Rhinolophus ferrumequinum: one gene and its partner. The protein of the gene in region 1 interacts with the protein of each later gene in a biochemical or structural test. Links are inferred from orthologs where the notes say so. Each region holds a gene or a part of one and is shown on either strand. Other genes may lie near its edges.

Region 1 (7,116 bases):
TTATAGCACTAATTCCTTCTAGTGTTTTCTTGACACTATTCCCCTTACCCTTCTCCTTATTAAAAAACCACTAGGTTCCCTTTCCTCCAACTAGACTCTGACTTTTACTTAGGCTTATGATTTTTCAGGATAAGAATATCTAACACTTGAACCAAGAGCTCAGTCTATGTCAGGCACCGTATTAAACACCCTACGTGCACAATCTCATGTAATTCTTATGACATCATTGTAAGAATATTATATAAAGTTGGGATAATATACAGGTATACCTTGTTTTATTGCAATTCACTTTATCACACTTTACAGATACTGCATTTTTTACAAATTGAGTGTCAAGCAAGCCTATTGGTGCCATTTTCCCAACAGCATTTACTTACATCATGCCTGTGTGTCACATTTTGGTAATTCTCACAATATCTCAAACTTTTTCATTGTTATATTTGTGATGGTGAATATTACATACACTTAGTTGACAAAGCAGCAGCAGGATTTTAGAGGATTGACTCCAATTATGAGAGAAGTTCAAAATTGGGTAAAATGCTATCAGACAGCATCACATACTACAGAGAAATTGTTCATGAAAGGAAGAGTCAATTGATAAGGCAAACTTCATTGTTCTTTTATTTTGAGAAATTGCCAGAACCACACAAACCTTCAGCAACCACCACTCTCTGATCAGTCAGCAGCCATCAACATTGAGGTAAAGACCTTCCACCAGCAAAAATTTCTGACTTGCTAAAGGCTCAGATGATGGTTAGCATTTTTTAGCAATAAAAAAATTTAAGTTCTGTACATTATTTTTTTAGACATAAAAAAGTGTGCTACTTATTGCACACTTAATAGACTACAGTATAGTGTAAAAAAACTTAACTTTTACAGGCACTGGGAAACCAATCTGACTCACTTGATTGTGGTATTTGCTTTATTGTGGTCATCTGGAACTGAACCCACAGCATCTCCAAGGTATGCCTGTAATAACAAAAAGATGAGATGATTTCAAATCAGTTATATAACTTACCTGACTTCATACAGCTACTAAATTCTGGAGCCTGCACTGGAACGTAGGCTCGCCCAACTCCCCAGCCTACTCTCTTACCACATTAATCCTATATTATGCTATCAATTCCAGAACTACCTGTTAGTTTTAGCCTATTAGTCGTTGAAGAAAAATAGGCCGTTGTGATTTGACCACCCTGTAAGTACTACATCTGCCTAACTCAGCTAATGTCCCTGTAGCTCAGTTTCCAGGTGTCTGGTCTTTTCTGTAGCTCTTCTTTCCACTTCCTGCTTCTAGATCATCCTCAAAATTTATTTCTCTGTTCTTGATGTTAGTTAGATTAGTGGATTCCAACATACTGTCTCCGCTTCCTCCTTTGTTCTAAGTATGTCTCCTGTATAATTTTCCCCATTAAGATTCCTATACAGCTTTCATATGAGAAACCTATGGTGTAAATACACACGTTAAAAGACAATTGCCATTTTGGAGACAATTTTATTTATTGCTTTTCTTGCTATTTATTGCTTTCCTTAAATACCTGTCATATTTAAGAAACTTCCATTTATATACTTCAGTATAATTTTAGGGATTCTAAACCAGCACCTACCACTATAAAGAGTGAAGAAACATTCTGAATATCAAATAAGTGTTATAGTCTTTCTACTTAACAATGTGAATATTAAATATTTATTCAACAACTATTTATTGAATGTCTATACATCAGATACCACCCTAGACACTACCTTTTTACCCTTCCACCCTTTCCACACCATCTTTTTTTGGTGAAAGTACATTTTTTAATATTAAAAATAAATTTTCTCAACATGATACACAAATTTATCTTAGAAAAAAATATATAAACAAGCAAAAATCACACATCAGTAACAATCACTTTCAATACTTTTTATGAATATCCTCCCAAATTTTCATCTATATTTTTGAACTATTAAACTTCTTTCAGTAAACATTATATAATGAACATTCTTCTACATTAATAATTGTTCATTTTGTGGGTGTACAATAGTTTTGGGGGTATTTTAATTATTTTTATTGGGGAATATTGAGGAACAGTGTGTTTTTTCAGGGCCCATCAGCTCCAAGTCAAGTCATTGTCCTTCAGTATAGTTGAGGAGGGTGCAGCTCAGTTCCAAGTCCAGTTGCTGTTTTCAGTCTTTAGTTGTAGGGGATGCAGCCCACCATCCCATGCAGGAATTGAACCAGCAACCTTATTGTTGAGAGCTCACACTCTAACCAACTGAAACATCTGGCCACTCCGGTGTGCAATAGTTTTAAAATCATATTTTCAATGTTGGATTCAGACTGTTATTAGATTTTTGCAATTACAATGTGAAAACTATTATGAACGTGATTGCAGGTACAGTAGTTCCTCGGTTTTTGAACGTCTCCGTGGACGAACATTTCGGTTTACGAACGCCGTCAACCCGGAAGAAAATGCTTTGAATTACCACCATGCCTCGGAAGTTGAACATGTCATGCAGCTTCCATTGAGTGCAAGATCCTGAGGCCTACCTGTCAGCTGATTCCCAACATTTCAGAACTCAAACGGTCTTCTGGAATGGATTACGTTAAAAAACTGAGATACCACTGTATTTATCTTTTCATATTCCTTATAATCTCAGAAATAGCATTTCTAGTGGGCTGGAAGACATTTATCCACACCTCAATTAAAGAATTATCATTAGATTATTTTAAAAATTTGTAAGCTATATATTCAAAAGGAGATCCCTTCTGTTTGAAATTCTAGTTAAACAACCAGTTAGCTTAAACCTTAAGTCTCAAAAATGTGTCCCATTTTTTAATAAACACTGATAAAATACTGGACAAGGGGATACAAAGATGAATAAATACCTGTGTAGGGCAGATGATTTACTGTAATATGCACATCTGTAATCAAATTGCATACAATGGACTTAAATTCTATAGCAGTTGGATACAGAAAGCTGGGTTTCAGAGAGCCTCAGACTGTGCAAATAATTAGTACTGATTATCTCTTCACACTTAAGGAGACTGCACTTTTTTTTTTCTTTTTTCTTGGGGAATATTGGGGAACGGTGTGTTTTTCCAGGACCCATCAGCTCCAAGTTAAGCCTTCGTTTTCCATCTCATTGTGGAGTCATTGGTTTCATCTAGTTGTGGAAGGCGCAGCTCAGTGGCCCATGTGGGTATCCAACCCGCAACCTGGGTGTTATGAGCACTGTACTCTAACCAACTGAGCCAACCAGCTGCCTGGAGAATGTACATTTTCATTTACTGCTTGGTGGTTAAGGAAAAGACACAACCCAGGGCCTCGCTTCCTTATTTATTGATTACTCATGTTTCTCACTTTACATGGTAGAATACACACAATTTGTTTACTTTCAGCATATAAATTCAGAGGAAATATCTTCTTTGTATCGAAGTAGAAGGTATTGAGAAATTGTTATGGCTAAAATGTGAAAATTAAGAGGAAAATAAATCAAACTAATGGGCATTCCTCCTTAGACAAAAAACTGAGACATCACTTGGGATAACGATAACGTCACCAACGCTGTGGCGTCACGCCTGTAATAAAGCATGGTACTAGAAGTGTTAAAGCCAGCACAGTCCTCCAAGTTTCAGTAGGTGATGCAAAACCTGGGCAAGTTTTCAGCGAGCGACACCAACCCAGGCCACGCCAAGAAGACACCGCGGCCGCAGACACTGAGCCGTTATAGAAGCGCGTTAAGAGTGCGCTCGCGTCAAGCCACTGAGCCGAGGCACAAACCTGTCTCAGAGCTCTCGGTCGAGGCCCCGCCCACTCTCGTACAGGCCTCGAGAGGGGCCGAAGGGGGCGTGGCAAGGGGAAGGAGAAGAGGATGCGCATGCGCATTCGCAACCCAGTCTATTAGCCAACTATCAATCTCGCGAGGGTTGAAAGTCGGTGGCGTAGGCAGTTGTCCTGGATGCTGGAGAGGTAGATGATATTGACCGGAGGAAGACGGGACCGCGAAGCTATTTCTTCGCCTCGGTCTTTTCTTCGCTTCCTTTTCCCCTTCCCGCAACCCTCCGCCCTCCTGTTAATCAGCCCGCCTTTCCTGACCTCAGTGACCCGGGTGGCTCCGCCCACTCTCGTCAACGTGATTCCCGCCGTGAGGTAAGCGCCGGTCGAACCCGATCCCCGCGGAAGAGGACGACGACGAGACGAGGAGGTTGCTGGTCCCGGTTCAGGCTCGACCCGGAGCCGCTGCGCAGAAGGCATTGGTTCGTTCCTCCATCAGTTCATTGAGACGTAGCCACCCCGGCCTAGGCCTCCTGATCCCTGCCGCGCCCGGCCTCCGGCAGCAGCGGGTGACGCAGACGGAACATCATGTCCGCGGCCGAACCTCCGCCACCCCCGCCTCCCGAGAGCGCGCCTTCCAAGCCCGCAGTCTCGGCCGCCAGCAGTGGAAGCAGCAACAACAAAGGCGGCCCCGAGGGCATCGCGGCCCAGGCAGCTCCCTCAAAGGTCGGCGCTGGTCCCGCTGACTCGGAGATGGAGGTAAGGGTGGCTTTGGGCACAGGGAGAGGGTGCAGTGGGGAGAAGGAGCTAGTTCACTTGTCTGCATTTTAGTGATCAGACGCAGGGCCGTACTTCGTACTTTGGGGTCCTCTCTACCCCAGATCCGCCTCAGGCCCTTTGGACCTGCAATGATGCTCCTCCCTTGCGTCCGGTGCTTAACCTGCCCAAACTGACTATGGGTTTCTGGCACTTAACATTTTTAGCGAATCTTGCCAAATCTTCGAATGCTCTTATTAAACAGATGTTCTTGATTACTGAGGCCGAGAACGACCTACCCGTTGTTTTTTTCCCTCCTAGACTCCCATAATTCCCTCTTCCATCTCTGAAGCAAGGTTTTAGTTTCTAGTAAACTTCGGGGACGGGCGAGGGAGCTGCCCCTGAGGAGTGAGGGATAGACGGGCGGGGTGGGAAAGGGATTTAAAATCAGCGCATCCTAGGACTTGGGCCTCCTTTTCCTCATCCTGGTCCTTGCGGGGGCGGTGTCTGTTCTTGGCAGAAAACAATGGCGAGAGCTGGATGGCCGAGTGCGCAGTGGGGATAAGCTGGGCGCAGCTGCTCCAGTGAAGGGAATGGAGGCCCCTCCCAGGCACTGTTCCGTTGGGAGGGAGGCGACCAAGGCTGCAGCAGCTGTCTTGGACCCCCATCTGATTTTGAGGGAGGGGGATGGATGAATGGGTGAATGAATTAGTAAGTCAGGGACAGTTGGTTGGTTGGCATTCAGTCCAACGCAGTTCCTCTTTGGGGGCCTTGGACTTTCTTTGAAAATCGGTACTGCTCGCCGCCCAGCCTGCCTTCTGGACGGGTTGACCAGAGGATGGTGACAGTACTGGGGAGGTGGAAAGATTGGGGAGCTGTCAGGTGGGTCTCTTGGGTGTGTTCCAAGGTTTTGTGATGTCTGAATAAAGTGATTGCTTGCTTCTTCCAAATTTTATTCTTGGCCTTCGATCTGTTTTGAGATATTTTATAGTCGCAGCCCAAAGATTTCTGGGATTTTTCCATCCTTGGATAGACAGAATGAAGGTAATACTGCTTTGAAAATGAGCCTTGATGCAGAATTAACCCAATAAGGAATTGTTAGTGCAGTTTACCATTGAAGTATTTGGCGCAATAGTTTTGTTTGGTCACCGAAGGTCTAATTGAGGGTGAAGTAACATGTTGTAATATTTTTGAAAGAACTTTTAGTGGTGAGGTAGGTTTTAGTGGACTAGGACATGTGATATTCTGTAGTTTTCAGTGGTTTGAGATTTGTTTAATATTCCTATCTACCGTTGCCTATTTTTTTCCTCTAAGGCTCTATATGGTTCTTTTAGATTACCAGGGAGGTTTAACTTGGATTCCTGCTCTATGCATGGCTTAAGGGGATTTGAAAACCTGTGACACTGAAATTGTGTCTAAATGCACACAATTCTTTGCAAAATGATGTTCATTCATAGTTTTCACTGGCTTTTCAAAAGGGTCTGCCATTAAAATTTTGGAATAACCAATGTCTCCCTAGAGATCTTATTTAAATATCAAAAGCAGAGTAATTTAAAACCTAAATATTTTGCTATTTTTAAATTAAAGTTGAATTAAAGTTTAAGTATGAATATTGACGTGATAAGTACCGTATGAAGTCAGTGGTATGTTTATTTGCTAGATGATGAAATTGAGGCTGCTGCTAAGTAGAACCTGTGGTAGAACCTGTGTCAGGCTCTAAGACTGACTCTTTTCCAACATATTTTGTCCTGTCAGATTCTTAGAAAAAAGGTGGTTAGCAATTTCATTTATTGAAGAATGACTAATAAGTTTTTTTACCTTAATATAGCAATATCAGTAATTTTGTCTTTTATCAATCTCTTCACTAATTTTAGTTTTGATTTTTTTGTGTTTTCTTTTCACATAGTGTGATTGGGGGGGTGATCTTTAAAATAAATGTACCTTCAGTCTGTTATTTTTGTTTGTCTCTTAACTGAATTCAGAAATCATTGAGGTTTACTGGTAAAAACTAGGTTTGCGCATACATGCGTAATACATCTAGCAATCTGTTTCGCAGTTGGAAAAAAAATTTTAATGCCATTTTCTTGTTTGAAAGTAGAATTTAAAGTAGGTTTTTTCCAAAATCAGAAAATAAATGAAATCATGCATTCATGATTTTTTCTGGCAAAGCTGACCTTCCCAGAAATATTAGCTAGCTTTCCTATGTATTCAGTTAATTTTTCCTTTTTGCTTGGTACTGATAGGTCAGCGAGCAATCTTTTTGTTGATTACTATGATCTTTTTGGTAATGTGATGAAGCCTATCTTCCATCATCCTCATCCCTCACTACTGACTAGACTGGTAGAGAAGTATATGCCAATAAACTAGACTGACTATATGCCAATAATTGTATGAGCTCAAGTCCTGGTCCAAATCTTTCTCTTTTTTTATTAACTATGAAAGAAATAATGACTACTTTTGGAAAGCACATTTTGTTTTTTTTAAGATGTACTTGACCTCTCATGGTATTCTACTAACATTTTGTGAAGTAGGCCAGGTAGGTAGCTTTGTCTGTTTTACTTGTGGATACCAGAGATTTGTGATGAGTTTTAAGGTTACACGGGTG
Region 2 (7,146 bases), on another chromosome or scaffold:
ATCTTGTTTACCACTGTCTCTCCAGTGGAGAGCAAAGTGGCCCCCACTAGGACATATCTGGTAATTCAATGAGTGACTAAAAAATGATGCCATGGGGCCGGCCTGGTGGCTCAGGCGGTTAGAGCTCCATGCTCCTAACTCCGAAGGCTGCCGGTTCGATTCCCATATGGGCCAGGGGGCTCTCAACCACAAAGTTGCCGGTTCAATTCCTCGAGTCCCGCAAAGGATAGTGGGCTCCGCCCCCTGCAACTAAGATTGAACACAGAACCTTGAGCTGAGCTGCCTCCCGGATGGCTCAGTTGGTTGGAGCGCATCCTCTCAACCACAAGGTGGCTGGTTCGACTCCTGGAAGGGATGGTGGGCTGCGCCCCCTGCAACTAGAAAACGGCAACTGGACCTGGAGCTGAGCTGCACCCTCCACAACTAAGACTGAAAGGACAACAACTTGAAGCTGAACGGCATCCTCCACAACTAAGATTGAAAGGACAACAACTTGACTTGGAAAAAAGGCCTGGAAGTACACACTGTTCCCCAATAAAGTCCTGTTCCCCTTCCCCAATAAAATCTTAAAAAAAAAAAATGATGCCATGGTCTTTACCTTCAGAGACCCTGACTGGGAAAAACCACTACTTTCCCAGGGCTCACCTCAAGTCCTAGAGAAACTGAAAGTAGTCCTACCCTCTCCTATACTCTTTAGCCTAAGAGAAATCATCCAGGGATTCCTTAAATCGAACAGGAAACAAGAAATCTCTACAAGGGCCACCACTAGTGCTTTGATTCCAGACAACAAGGTCTTCATATTTTAAAAGTCTAAGTTTTCCACAGATATCTTAGTTTCATATATCAGAAAACACCAACTGGGTGACTACATTCAAAAGGGAGATTCAAAAGGAAAAGCCATTGCTTCTGACTTCAGGAATTTACAAACAGTTTCATACCTAAAAATAAAAGAAAGACAGCATGCATAGACAGTTTTCTGATGACCTATAGAAGTTGATGAGATAAATATTCCCTGATATGGGCTGAATTGTGTCTGCAAAGTCATTTGCTGATGTCCTAACCCCCTGTACTTCAGATTTTGACTGTATTTGGAGGTAATTAAGGTAAAATGAAGTGCTACAGGTGGGCCTTCATCCAGTATGACTGATGTACATGGAAGAAGAGAAGATTAGGACATGGGCACACACAAAGGGAAGACCATGTTAAGACATAAAGAGAAGATGGCCACCTACAAGCCAAGGAGGGCTCAGACGAAAACAGCTCTGCCAACACCTTAATCTTGGATTTGTAGCCTCCAGAATTTTGACAAAATTAATTTCTGTTGTTTAAGATACCCAGTCTGTGGTACTTTGTTAAGGTAACAAAGCAAACTAATACACCTCCCATTTTAACCAATTCCTAGAACACAAATAAGAATGCTTTCTTTTAGTTTCCAATTGCTTATTTACCACTTCTTTAACTGAATCGATGCTTTATTTTTAATCCAGCTTTCTCAAAGTCTACTACGTGTATAAAGGAAGTCAACCCCAAATTTTGAGATAATAGGCCCTTAAAAGACGATTCCATGATAATTTACCTGCCTTGAAATTTGGAGTCCAGTTTTGACCTCTGAGACAATAAAGAGTGAGGCTTAGTGAAGGTAAATTCTGATAAATGATGATGAGCATGTCTCTTGGCCGGAAAGCAGGAATCTGAGATGTTTACAATGGTGAGCACTGGGAGTTTGTCTGAGAAAGCAGACCAGAAGAAAACATGTAACATGCCAAAAAGGAACCAAATGGAAACAGTTCAAAGATCTTGTAAGGAAAGAGACAAGGGTTGGCTAATTCACCATTAGCATCCAGAGGAGCTCTGCAGGGTGAGCCCAGGATTCGAGGGTGGCCCCTCTCAATTCGGCGGATAGTTGCCCAGCATTGTGGATGCTGACAAACAGCCAAGTTACAGGTGGTTTCATCCCACTGGCTCTCATCTGGCAAGTCCATAGTTATGAATGGTTTAGGACACAAGCCAACCTTGCAGCTTTTTAGCCCTCTGGAGAGACAGTAACCACATAATTAGGGAGTATTATATACTAGCCATGCAGTCCAGATTTTAATTTGGACTCAAAAGTATAAAATATTTCTATTGAGTCCATATAGGCAAATGGTGGTCACAAAATAATTAAGAATAGGGTAACAAGCAAGTATGAAAACATCTCAGCATGAAGTAGAGTGTCAAGAGTTTGGGAGCAGACTGACTTTAGAAGGTCTCCTAATTCACCATTTAAAAGATTCGTTAGTCTGAGCCTCCGTTTCCTCATCTGCAAAATGAGAATAAGCCTATTTCACAGGGTCATTACAAAAAATTAGTTAATGGATATTAAAAGGTCCGGTATACAGTTCAGAATGAATATCAGCATCCTTTCCTTTTCCCCTTCATTAATCACGAAGGAAATGATACCATCTCCAAAAAGCCTTATCAAATCACAACTAATGTAGTCACAGAAGTGCTTTTACATGGCTCAAAACTTTGAAAGCCATAGGCTTCACTTTTCAAATGCTCCAATTTTCATACAGGCAGCTACCCACCGGAAATTAATAGGTTTGCTCAAACAGCAAATCAGTAGACAGACTTGCAGTTGCATCAGAGGCCATTGGCTTTTCATTTACTGTCTGTAGGGTCTTGGACAAGTGACTTAACCTCTTAGCCTGTTTCCTCATATCGAGGACAAGAAATCCCTAAGCAGGATTGTAGAAGGATTAAATGAGATCATGTACTTTTAATGTGTGACAATATAATAGGTGCTCAATAAATACAATCATCTTTCTCTCTCTAAAAATGTTTTAGGCAATCATTACCACCTGGTCCCTAACAACTTTTTAAGGACAGTGTCCATTTGTACTTTCTTTTATCCAAGATGTTTATTATTGACTACCAAATATGTGAGGGAACCTGTATAAGCATGGAAAACAATAAAAACAAAATAAGTCTCTGTTCTAAAGAGCTTATAATTTAGACCAAAGGTAGCAAAATATTGGTCTGGGATTGCACCTGGTCTGTGTCTTGTTTCATTTAGTCTTCACTTTGGGCCATTATTTCCATTTTAAAATGGAAATAATCCATACTGTCCAGATTTCTGGCTCCTTTTAGCAATCAAAATATCTGACAACACAGGGGGGCCCAATTCCAACTAGACAGCAATTGACTGAAGCTGAGCATCTCCTGACAGCTTTAAACCAGGTCTGTCCCATCAAAGTGGAGAGTTTTCCCACCAGACCCTACAGTTTCTAACCGAAGCAGTTTCAGTTGCCATTTATCCTCAAATTCCTGTTGCTTTTCTCATAATAGGGAAATATTTCTCTATACTCATCAAAAGCAGGAAAACGAAAGGGTGACTTGGGATCTCTTTCAAGAAAAAAAAGCATTAGTACTCAGTTAGGAGTGAGGACAATTTCTACATACATAACATGAAAATGATACAACTTAAAAAGCCACTGTAAAGCTGTGGTAATGTTTTTGACTGGGAAAGATGTTTTATGAACAATTTAATCAACTAAAAAACCACAATTTTAACAGGGTTTGTTTTTGAATAGGAATGTGATGTTGCCGGCTGCTTATCGACCTTTCCTTACCTGACCAGCCCGAATTGGCAATGCCCCAAGGTCTGGTCATGCCCACCTTTATGTTGCCAGCATTGCCTCTGCGCTGGCTAAATAGATTGCCTTCAAAAATTCTAGGTAGCAGTTATCCTTAATACTATTACCACCAAGTTGGGAGGGGTGTAATGATTAAGGATGGACATCAGCTCCGCTAAGAGTTGAAAAAGAGACTCCCCGCTTCGTTCCGGAAAAAGGGAGGGGAGAATTCGGCCTCGGAGGGTCGCGGTTCCGCGGAGTCAAAGCAGATGCCACACCGCTGGGAGGCCGAAGCCCACTGGGAAAACCTTGCTCCTCGCGGGGCCGGGATGAGGTCTGTGAGCCCCGCCCACCAGGCCCCGCCTCCCGCCCCAAGGGGCCCCGCTCCGCCCGCACCGTCCTCGCCTCCGTCTCCCGAGCTAGCCGGCAGGCTGCGCTGTCGCTAGGCAGCGGCGCACGGTACCCTGCGGAAGGGACGGAAGCCCCAGTGAGCCCGACTTAATTTGGTGAAAAAGCTCCACACGTGGTGGTGGGTGAAGCGGACAAACGAGCTTGGGAAGGGACGCCGAGTGTCAGTGGGGCCAGACGGAAGCCCCGGCGGACCGAAACCATCGGGGCGTGGAACGTTCGGCCGCGCCAGCGACTTGAGGCGGAAGCGCGGCTGCTGGAGGAGGGAGGCTATCGCGCGCGGGGCCGTATGGGACACGATGTGGGCAACGTGGGGCGGGACGGAAGCCTCGTTGGGTCAGACCGTGGCGACGCGGGAAGTCTGGACGCCGTAGCTGCCTAAAGAGGAGGCCTGAGAAGGAGGGCCGGTCCCAGTGGCGGCAATGGCGGAAAGGCCCGAGGACCTCAACCTGCCCAATGCCGTCATCACCAGGATCATCAAGGAGGCGGTGAGCAGCTGGACTGACGGTTGGGCCAGGGGCGGACGGACGGGCAATGGGGGAGACAGGTCCTGGGCCCGTAGCTTTGCTCACCCCCGCTCTTCTCGCAGCTCCCGGATGGTGTCAACATCTCCAAGGAGGCCCGGAGCGCCATCTCCCGCGCCGCCAGCGTCTTCGTGCTCTACGCCACATCCTGGTGAGGCGGGCAGAGCTAGCCAGACCTTAGCTGTGACATAAGGGACTGTGACATAAGGGAAGCGCAAAGAGACTCCCTGCGCCCGAGTTTGTGGCTTTTAGCCCACAAACCCCAATTACTATCCTACCTCAGTGGAGGGAGGTTCACAGCCTTCATCCACTTTTTGCAGGATCTGAAGCAAATAAAACAAAAAATAACTTCGCTTTAACTTTCTTGTACAGGGAAAAGGGAGTTACCATGTCACAAAAATCCGTGCATCTAAGACATGGGCTTTCCCATTCCACCCCTGGGTGCTCCTTTTTCTATCTGATCCATAAGTGGCAAGGGCGAGTCTGGTGACCCTTAATATTTCTCTTCTTGTTTCAGTGCCAACAACTTCGCCATGAAAGGGAAACGCAAGACACTGAATGCCAGTGATGTGCTCTCAGCCATGGAAGAGATGGAGTTCCAGCGGTTCATTACCCCGTTAAAAGAAGCTCTGGAAGGTAATGACCATTTTATTTTCTCAGTCAAATAGATAGATGTTCATTCCGTGTGACCTTCTCACCTGGTCCTAAGTCTTTCTGGCTTGGATCCCTTGAGTCCAGTAAGCAAGTATTGGGTGTGACTCAGAACCATTTCAGTTGGACCATCTCAGGTCTTATCATTCTAGCAGGTAATTTTTCCGTCTGGGCCTCAGCTTTTCCAGTTATACACAGGCGTTAACTGCTGCCATCTGTGTGGTTCAGCCTTGCCTCCTAACTCCCTCCTTCCTCCTTACAGCATATAGGAGGGAGCAGAAAGGCAAGAAGGAAGCTTCGGAGCAAAAGAAGAAGGACAAAGACAAAAAAACAGATTCAGAAGAACCAGACAAGAGTAGGGATGAGGATAATGACGAAGATGAGGAAAGACTGGAAGAAGAAGAACAGAATGAAGAGGAGGAAGTGGACAACTGACCAGGGTGAGGAGACTGTGGCACCTTGGAAGGTACCACTCAGGAATGTGCTGTATGTTTATATGAAGCTTTTTCCTACTGGGCAGAGCACTCTTAGGCAGCAGAGCCTGAGACCATCGAAATGAAAACTGGCTCGAATTACCAAACCGGCACTTCCCAGACTCAGAACATCTGAGTAGCAGAATCCTGTTTTGCTTAATTGGCCTGAAGGTTATGACTTTTTGGCAAGAGGGATCCTGAACGGATAATTTCATCAATCAATTTGATCTCTCTTGTTTATTTTTATATGTGATTAGGCAGGTTTTGATTCTCAGTTCCTTCCATGCTTACCCCACCAAAAATAACAACTTCCATGCCATGTGCTGTGTTCCAAATCACAGAGGCAGCCAAAGGCTCAGGAAAAATTGAGGCTTAGATCATGGTCAGCCTGCTTGTACAGTATCTGACAACACTAGCTATTACAAGTGGTCAGAAAGGCTTAGCTTTGGGAAACTGCTGAAAGGCTATGGGAGAACAATGGAATCTGTGATCTTTACTTGACTGTCAACATTCATTGGATTTTGGTTTTTACAGACCCACTTGGCTTGGGGCCCTTCTGTATTGCCTGCAAACATTTGACCTGTTGGTGTGCTGCACTCTGGGAAAATATGCTTTTAAATCAGCATTGTAGAGTGGAATTAGTCAAGCAAGTGTGCCAATGTCTAACTCTTAAAAAAACAAATGGTTGGTCTTAGATGCACCTCACTGCCTTCCACTGTACAATGTTAGGATTTATTGTGACCCAGAAGGTAAAAATCCCAGGTTTTTCTCTTACAGGCCATCTCCCAGACTTAGGACTATGGCTTTTCATTCTTCCAGTTCGTGACAAGTTCCAAGCTTTATTTCTTCTAGGCACAGCTTTCTCCTGTGCTTCTCACTTCCTGTCTCTCTCCTTCCTTTCCTTTGCTCCCCATTCCCGTTATCTCCCTTCTTTTCTCACTTCTGTCAGTCCAGAAACTTGAGTAATCTGCTTTATATCCCAAAGTACAGGTTCCTCTGATTTCTTAGGTCCAATTTCATGTCTTTTAAAAATGATTTTGTAAACCTCCTGAATCTTCAGGGAAATCCGATGGTGCTCGAGAATCTAACCCCCCACCCCCATTGCCAAACCATCCCCTTTAACTATTTGTAAAATATCTCTATTGACCTTTCTTCATTTTTTTTTCTCTTTCCATTTAGTGCTTCAAGCACTTTTTTGTCTCTAAGAAGGTTGACAGGTGTAGTTTGACACTTAATTTGTGAAATGAATACAGTGAAAAGTTGATAAATGAGTGAAGAATGTTGAGAAAATTGCAGTGCTTTGTACAAATAAAAAACATTCTTGTTAAAAGTGATGACTACTCTTTCATGCTTCTTCGTAGTATGCTTTGGGGGAAGACCCACTGATCACGCCCTGTACAGTTTTTGGACTGTGGACTGGGCCAGACCTTGCTAATTATGGGATCCTGCATCACCTTGGATGACCGGCAGGGCTGC

Evidence for each region. The genes of interacting proteins can lie anywhere in the genome.
Region 2: the proteins of SMARCA5 (region 1) and POLE3 form a complex in vitro, tested with the Homo sapiens proteins (2 studies listed by BioGRID). The link is inferred for Rhinolophus ferrumequinum from reciprocal best matches to the Homo sapiens genes SMARCA5 and POLE3.

What each region holds. Positions count from the first base shown.
Region 1 is NC_046301.1:17,881,750-17,888,865, forward strand, and holds the start of SMARCA5 (SWI/SNF-related matrix-associated actin-dependent regulator of chromatin subfamily A member 5), read left to right. Parts: upstream 1-3,936; 5' UTR 3,937-4,343; coding exon 4,344-4,514; intron 4,515-7,116. UniProt on the Homo sapiens protein: ATPase that possesses intrinsic ATP-dependent nucleosome-remodeling activity.
Region 2 is NC_046295.1:65,274,802-65,281,947, reverse strand, and holds the start of POLE3 (DNA polymerase epsilon subunit 3), read left to right. Parts: upstream 1-4,006; 5' UTR 4,007-4,444; coding exon 4,445-4,510; intron 4,511-4,611; coding exon 4,612-4,697; intron 4,698-5,063; coding exon 5,064-5,182; intron 5,183-5,459; coding exon 5,460-5,632; 3' UTR 5,633-5,637; exon of another isoform or gene 5,638-7,004; intron 7,005-7,031; 3' UTR 7,032-7,146. UniProt on the Homo sapiens protein: Accessory component of the DNA polymerase epsilon complex. Participates in DNA repair and in chromosomal DNA replication.